Tribolium castaneum: one gene and its partner. The protein of the gene in region 1 binds, or shares a complex with, the protein of each later gene. Links are inferred from orthologs where the notes say so. Each region holds a gene or a part of one and is shown in the gene's direction. Other genes may lie near its edges.

Region 1 (4,099 bases):
AGACTTATCTTTTTTGATCCTAAAAATAAAAAAGAAAGAATAAAAATAAAGAATTCTTAACAGTTTTTATATCTTATATAATTATACTTTTTTAAGCTTAGTTTTTGTTCCAATTGATCGTCTTTTTTAGATACCGAAAATTAAAAAGAAAATCAAAATAAAAAATTAAATAAGAATTTTTAACAATTATTGCCAAAAAAAAATAATTTTAACGTTCGTTTTTTATAACCACAATTAGTTATCTGTAAGACAGCAAAATTAAAACAAAAGTAAAAAATAATTATGTGGAATTTTTTACAATTTTTAAGCTGGGCTTTTGTTACTTCAATTAATTTATTAGTATATTTAATATAACTGTTTTTTTTGGCTCCGAGAATTAAAAAAATAAAAATAAGGAATCTTTGACATTTCTTACCTAAGGATGGTTAAATTTTAAAGCTCGGTTTTTATTTACTATTTAATTTATCGGTATGATTTATTTGTTGCCTTATTTGACTATACTTATTTGAATAAATTTGTACAAGTTTTATAGACGCCAATTTGTTGTAATTTTAGCAAAACTTTTTATACATAAACCTAATAATAACAGCTAAATTTAATTGTTTTACCTTCAATTACTAAGAAAATCATTTATTTATTGTCATATAAGGATAAAATTACAAACAAATAGTGTCAATGATGTTTTGTGAAAAACTTAAAAGAAATAAAAGAACAAATTCTCCGAAAGAAAGCGAAACACTAAAATTGTTTAAAAACTTGAAACTTTTAATAGAGTTTTTTACCTTTTTTGGATCCAATATAGCATCAATTTGTTTATCCTTTTTAATAATTTCATTCTGCAATTTGCGTATTTTCACCTTTAGCATACGATTTTCGGTGCTAATGTTGGATAAATTTTTCTTCAGATGAAAAATTTCAGTCCGCAAATCTCCATCATCTTGTAACTAATAATACAAAGTATAAATAAACTAAAGTATAAATATTTTATTACCTCATTTCGAAACATTGTAGCCGAAGACGAAGTTACGTTTGTTTTGTTTGTAATTTAAGTATTGATCAAACAAATTTTACAATGTAATTAGCAACGGATTGCAGCAAACACAAACATAAATATAGCCGGGTTAAAAATATTATATAATTAAAACTATTGTATCTATTTTCTACTATTTCTTACTTTCTTTAATCAATGTTGTTAAATTTTAAACAAATTTAAATTTACCGCTTTATGTCAAAAGCTGCGCAGGCGCAATTATGTTTCTTTGACATTTGACAGCAGCGTGTGACAGCTGATCGGTTGTTGTGTTTAAAAAGTGCTTCAAAAACAACAAATTAACTAATAAAAACTAAAAAAATGGTTATTGAAAAAAATCCTTTCCCTGGCAATGCCTTGGAACAATTTGTTTTATTGTCAAAGTCAACAAAAGGGGCTGCTTGTTCCGAACTGATCAAGCAAGTGTTGGAAGCCCCCGGTGTTTACGTTTTTGGTGAATTACTTCACATGCAAAACATTGAAGAGGTAATCAAACATATTTTTACATTTATACATTAACTAAGTGTTTTGTAGTTGAGTAATACACCACAGAAAAATTTCTACAACACTCTCAACTTGTTTGCTTACGGAACCTACAAGGATTATCTAGCAAATAAGAAGGATTTAATTGAATTAAGCCCAGCTCAGAAGAAAAAGCTTCAACATTTAACCATTGTTACGTTGGCCACCAAATCAAAGGTAGTTAAAGTAATTCCACTTTAGTGAAATTAAGTTTTTAATATGGATAACTATAGATTAGGAAACGACACGACCTACAAATAAAAAGTCCTCGTTCTCGATAGTTTCGATAGTGTTGTGTAGATGGCGGAGCACATTATTGTATTAAAATTTATCAATGGTTTTAATAGCAGTTAGCACATGGTATCCAAAAAAAGCATGTTAATGCAGCTTTTGGCTATCATTTTTTATTAAAAAAAATACAAGTTATTGCAATTTGCGAATGTTTCGGCATAAAAATGTCATCAGCTCTTAATGATTTTGTTTAATCTAGTTTGTTTAAAAACAAAAAAATTGTTGGCGTTCTTTCCAAAGCACTCTTTGTAAAAATGCTTTTTTCTCCATTTTGATGAGCATTTAAGATTCGATTATATCATGTGATACATAGATGTAATCGGAAATGAAAACACTTCAAAAATACAAAAAGCAAATATGGCTTCCATAAGAAAAAACAAAATTTAGTGTTGTAACACTGACATCAAGAACGCCTTGGAAAATGGGACGACAGATTTAGATTTCTTGTAAAAATGTACCTAAAGAACGTTCTAGTTAAAAACGTCTAGTTCTTTTGGTTTTCACTCGAAAAAAATTAAAACCCAAATTTTAACCACCTCGTATCTCGTATAATAACTGAGATTCCCATGGTGGAGCTGAAAAAACGGCCACCCAGTACATTGTTTTGACTACTATAACAATCTAAAGATAATCGAGTATATTCCTAAAATTCATAAAAGGGACATAAATTTGTACCATGTTACATGTTCAAGTTAACAAAAAAAACAAATATAAAAAAATTAAAAAAAGATTTTTTAACCATTTTTGCCTAGCGATAATCAAACTTTTCTGCTCGGTTTTTGTTACTACAATGAATTTATCAGTATCTAATACGAGTGATTTTTTTGAAAGTGAAAACAAAAAAATTAAAAACATTTTAAGCTTCTTTTTGATCCAAAAACTAGAAATTTTTACCGTACTTTATAATAAATCTTCTAAAAAGTCTGCAATTTTTTTTTATTTTTTGTCAAAAATAATTAAACTATCGACAAATTTACGTCATTTTCAAGCATTTTTGCACAAAAACTATTCAGTTCAAAATTGTACTATTTTTTAACTTTGTAAAAAAGTTGCATTGCATTTTTCTCTACAACTTTTTTTTAATAGAACGACTCTATTTTCTTAACGGCAATGGAAAGAATATCGATATTTATGGTGACTTTTATCAATACGTCCTATACCAATCTCTTACAGTTTTTGAAAAAAATCACAAAAAACGGATTTTACTTGGTAGTTTTCATAGTTAATCAAGTATACCTTGCAAAATGGTCAACAATTATCAAACTTCAATTTTTTATTTAGTTTTTAGCTGTTTCATTATCGAATAATCAGTAAAATAATCACATTTAATTATAGTTTATTATAAGTTAGTGAATTATGTAAAGTAACTCAGTCAGTTTGCCATTGATCCTTGAACTTCTTGAATGAAAATGGTAAATAAATAGGACATTTCTTTTTGTTAACAGTACAATTTTATCGTATTTTTCAAAAGTTTACTTGATTAAAAATGAAAATAATGAGCTAAAATTCTGTTTTTTGCGATTATTTCAAATACTGTAAGAAATAGATATATAGAAGATGTTATTAAAAGTATGCATAAAAATTGATGTTCTTTTGATTGCTATTTAAAAAACTGGGTAATTCCATTTGAAAAACTGTTTTATAATCATTTTTTAATCATCATTTTCAACAAATCATACCTCTAGCTATGTTAGAAGTTAAAGTTTCTAATGTAGGCTCTAAAAGAATCAGCCTATCTACTAATTTAACAAAATTTGATTGATTTTTCTTAGAGCAAGTAATAATAAAAACAATGTTTTTTTAGTGTATTCCGTACAACACCCTTCTGGAAGAGCTAGGCATAACAAATGTTCGTGATTTGGAGGACTTAATAATTGAGGCGATTTACGCTGACATTATTCATGGAAAATTGGACCAGAAAAATAGTCAATTGGAGGTTGATTATGCCATAGGTCGTGATATTCGTCCTGAAGACATTAATGTAATTGTGAATTGTCTCCAAGACTGGTGTTCGGCCTGTGAAGGTGTTTTGGCTTGTGTTGAAACACAAATACATAGAGCAAATAATGAAAAAAATAAATCAATGTTGAGAAAAGCTGAAGTGGAGCAAGAGGTATTTTTTTCGAGTTTGTATCATTACTTTGTTTTAGATATGCATTTTTTTTGTAGATTAGTAACATTAAAAAGACTCTGAAAACTCAATTACAAGAACGCTCTGATGGAACTGACGAGGCTATGGCTACTGATAACAGGGAA
Region 2 (4,329 bases), on another chromosome or scaffold:
GCATTTAATTTCGAGAATCCCATCTTCTTCCACTAATCCATCAGGACTTGCTCCCAAAAAGCCTGATTCTTCCAACCTACAAAAAAAAGTAATATTACATTATTCATCTAAGTTATACGTGTTAATTATTTTCGACCTACCAAAATCCCGTCTCTTGGACTTTAAGATTCGTCGCTTCTTCAAATTCTCTGAGCGCTGTCTTCTCGTGGGTCTTACCCCACTGCACAGCAGCAACCCTGTCAAGCGAATAGCCTTCCGCCAAATTTTTAAATAAAGAGGGTGGGAATCTTCGTCTACTGCAAGCAGATAGTACCATGCCAAACCTGCTGGCCGTTAAACGATGTTTCCTTGCTACATGCCAATTTTCGTTAACATGTTGGCCCCGAGTGCACGCCTCAACCAGTTTAATGCGTGCCTCATCTATTCTGCACTTCTCCAAAAGAAACTTTTGTTTGTCTATGGCCTGCACGTATTCTAAGCTTTGTAGAATTTCTTCGATATCTGCAATAATTTTTCTGGCTTCTTCACTTGCTTCTGGTCTTAGGAGCCAAGTGAAGCCCACCACATTCGTGACGCCTATTTCGGCACGGAACTGAATAATTTCGTCCTCAGTAGAGGACCTAGACAGTGCCGTATAGTTTGATAATTTCGGCTTGTAAACATCAGCTAACTTAATGACTTCTGTTTGTGGTGTTGTTTTTGATGGGGCACTCCACTGACACTCAATGTCAGTAGCACTTACATTATAATGAGCATAATATAATGCTGCAGCCATATGATGGCAAGCCACGTTGCCCCTTGGGCAGGTACAATGTGCCGTCTTAACCCCTTCTTCTAGGTCATATGAAATCTAAAACACACTTTGTAGAAGAAATGTCTAACAGTTAAATAAATACAAACCTCCACAGTATAATTTAGCTTTTTCATGCTCGGTAGAACTTCTGCAGAAATTCTCATCGGTTGTACTGTGCCATCAAACCTAAATTTGGTGACGTGACCGCTGGTAAAAGCATTTTCTCCCCGAACTAAAAAGCGATTACCGTCCCCAAAAAATTTCGCAATAAAGTGAAACTTAACAATGTGCTTTTCTGCCACTAAAATGCATAAATATAATAGTTTCTCAAAGTATAATTAAAGCTTACTCACTTTCTCACCGACAACGTGGTTCCCTGTATTCTTTTATAAAGTTCGTATTTTCACAAAAAGTCACTTCTAAATTAAATTAAAGTCTCTAGTGGCACAAATTACACCCGCTGCAGCTATTTGACACGTTATTAACGCACAAACACAACCAAAAAACCGAAAAACGTATTACACCACATGTAAAAGACTGGTTGTTTAGCTTTGAGCAACTGACCTACCGTAATAAGAGTGGGGAGGTGACGTCACGACTGATAGCGCGTATTCCACGTTTCGAGTTCCACGTTTTCGAGTTTAATTGGTCGTGGGGTTTGTTTCCTTTTAGTTAACTGGGGCGAAGCCCCAGCCACGCGCAACATATTTCCATAAAAACCACTATTCCAATATGCCCAGCTGAAATGAGAAGTCCGTTATGGTCTCCGTTCGTACTGTTCCGACCTCGCTCGCAACATTTCGACTGAGCGAACATTTGTAGACCGGCAGGGGCTAGCCGCTAGTAGTTGCACCAACCCGTTCCCCCAGTTTCGGTTGGCTCCCCTTTCGAAATCTGTCATCACACCGGTTGTCAATTCAGATCCTAGTATAAAAATAGTAATAATTTATTCAGCAAAACGTAATTTTCCCACATCCGAATGAAATGGCATCCGTTTTAGAACAGTTTGTGACGACTGTTAGGACCCTCTCATCCCATGGTTTGTACCCGAATCGGGCAAATTCCCGTACGAAATGTGTGAATGAGGTTATGTTTGCAGGAAACTATAAAGTTCTTTGTGAATATTTAAGTAAATCGTCGGATATCCTCCTGAAAAACACGCAGCACTTGGACAACGTGCTCGAGACGCTCGATCTGCAGCAGCACTCGCTCGGCTATTTGGTGGTGTTATGCGCTAAATTTAATTCAACAGTCCCAGCTAATACGCCAGACAATCGGTTTGCACAAGTGCAAGAGTTTATCCATGGCTGTAACGGAGAGCAGATCAGACTGGCCCCCGACACTTGTACTGACTGGGCGGGAGTGTGGCCAGTTTTTTAATAGTCTGGTTTCAGTTGCTGAATTATGCCACTCTCTAACAAATTATCTAGTTGAGCAGAAGCAACCCATGAAAGGGATTCTCCTCTTACGAAAGGCCATTTCGAAGTTGCGGTTCTTCGATTCGCAGTTAACTTCGATCCATGCTGATCTGTGCCAGTTGTGCTTATTGGCAAAGTGCTTTAAGCCTGCTCTAGAAATTTTAGATACTGATATTACTGGAATTTGCCAAGAGGTAACCTAAACAATGCGGAACTACAATTTTTGGCTTATTTTTTAGATTGTTCATAATCCTAATGGGGCCCAATTTGAAGCAAAATATTTTTTATTGTATTACTATTATGGCGGAATGATTTATTTAGCTGTGAGAAATTTGGATCGTGCTTTGTATTTCTTTGAGGTAGCTATAACAACCCCAGCACATGCTGTTTCTCATATTATGCTCGAGGCATACAAGAAGTACATTATAGTTTCACTTTTATTACATGGAAAAGTGAGTTTTTGTATTTTGTGAAGAAAATGTTTCTATTTTAATCGAGTTTTAGATACAACCAGTGCCTAAATATGCTTCACAAGTGGTTACTCGGTTTATCAAACCATTATCTCAGCCTTATAATGATTTAGCAAATTCTTTCACTTCAAACAACACAGCGGATTTGAATGCTGTACTTAACAAACATAGAGAGGTAATCAATTTTTTTTTGTGATAATATTTTAGTTGTATTTCTGGTTTTAAGGCATTCACCAGGGATCACAATTTAGGTCTTGTAAAACAGGTATCCTCAGTGCTTTACAAGAAAAACATTCAAAGGCTGACGAAAACCTTCTTAACGTTAAGTTTGTCAGATGTGGCGAGCCGAGTCGGATTGCCTGGCCCTTCGGATGCCGAGCGCTACATTTTACACATGGTAAAAAATTCTAAATTGCGCAAATTTTTTTACGGTGGTTTTTTGATAACTACCTCTTTTATTTCCTGAATCACATTTTTGTATCAAAAGAACACACAAATAATGTTAAGAAATATGCGTGATAAAGGTGAGCTTGACAGGACCGTTTTTAGCTAAATTTGTGCCCTTCTTCAAGTCTCAATATTTGAAAGGAAAGTAATAGTTTTTAGCTAATTATACTCTGGTAATTTATTAAAATTTGTTAAGATTGTTATGAATCTTGTAAACACGTTAACTTCTTTTTAAAATTAGTTGTCCGATTAAATTTTAACTGTCTTGTAAAACTGTAGGTCACTGTTGTAACAGCTTTTCTTTAGCAAGTTACGTTATTTTTTGGGTTAAAATGAATTTTTCTCAATTTTTTGATAGAGGTAAGCCAACATAAAGTAAAACACAATAGTGCATTTTTTTTAAAGGTAACATTGTGAAAAAATGCTCTGAAATATTTTCAGATCGAAGATCAGCAAATCTACGCCACGATAAACCAAAAAGACGGAATGGTTGTGTTTAGAGACGAGCCTGAGAAATACGGGGGCCCAGACGTGCTGAAAAGCCTAGAAGCTCAACTAGCAATTTGTATGGAACTTGACAAACAAATCCTTGCAATGGACGAAGACATCCAAGTGAATCCCGTCTACGTGAAGAAGTCGAGCGGTGTACAAGACGAGGAGCAGCCCAGCAAAAGTACATACGCGATGTAAAAATTTCAGTTGCTCAGTGTTATCAGTTTTCATTTTGTACACTTGAAATATTTAAGCTTTTTCATGAAGAAAGGGAAACGTCAGCTCATTAACTTGTAATCGAAATTATAACATTATAAACACTGTGTGTTTTTGTAGTTTAATACCATTTCTCAGAGACGTGTACATTATTTATTTTGTGTTTCTTTAAGTAATAACAATTCGAGATTTACATTGTACTGAGGTTATTTACAATAAAATACTGATATACTTGCTACATCAGTATATTTCGGAACGTGGCATCACAACTTTACAAACTCCAAAATACTATCAATATCACCGAGTACTTCTTCTAAGGCTTTGTGTGAACGTCCGTCGAAAAACCGCACTCCTTCGACTTCGTTCTCCACTTCTTCTTTCTGTTTTAAGTGTTCAGGCCAAGCGCACTGTTCGAAATAACCAGGACAGTCTGGAGGCTCGTAAACCCTTTGTTCACGTCGTGCGAAACATTCGTCTTTAGGAAGAGTAAAAA

What was found.
Region 2: CSN7 (region 1) and CSN3 share a complex: the UniProt entries of both Drosophila melanogaster proteins name them as parts of the CSN complex. The link is inferred for Tribolium castaneum from reciprocal best matches to the Drosophila melanogaster genes CSN7 and CSN3.

What each region holds. Positions count from the first base shown.
Region 1 is NC_087395.1:497,777-501,875, forward strand, and holds the start of CSN7 (COP9 signalosome complex subunit 7b), read left to right. Parts: upstream 1-1,254; 5' UTR 1,255-1,351; coding exon 1,352-1,516; intron 1,517-1,564; coding exon 1,565-1,729; intron 1,730-3,647; coding exon 3,648-3,956; intron 3,957-4,012; coding exon 4,013-4,099. Other genes in the region: IQ domain-containing protein E-like, read right to left, coding at 783-944, 992-1,006. UniProt on the Drosophila melanogaster protein: Component of the COP9 signalosome complex (CSN), a complex involved in various cellular and developmental processes.
Region 2 is NC_087394.1:32,821,129-32,825,457, forward strand, and holds CSN3 (COP9 signalosome complex subunit 3), read left to right. Parts: upstream 1-1,492; 5' UTR 1,493-1,777; coding exon 1,778-2,138; intron 2,139-2,187; coding exon 2,188-2,405; intron 2,406-2,450; coding exon 2,451-2,663; intron 2,664-2,715; coding exon 2,716-2,856; intron 2,857-2,907; coding exon 2,908-3,078; intron 3,079-3,569; coding exon 3,570-3,818; 3' UTR 3,819-4,074; downstream 4,075-4,329. Other genes in the region: uncharacterized protein LOC135265914, read right to left, coding at 1-76, 141-850, 901-1,094, 1,147-1,147; nicotinamide riboside kinase 1, read right to left, coding at 4,100-4,329. UniProt on the Drosophila melanogaster protein: Component of the COP9 signalosome complex (CSN), a complex involved in various cellular and developmental processes.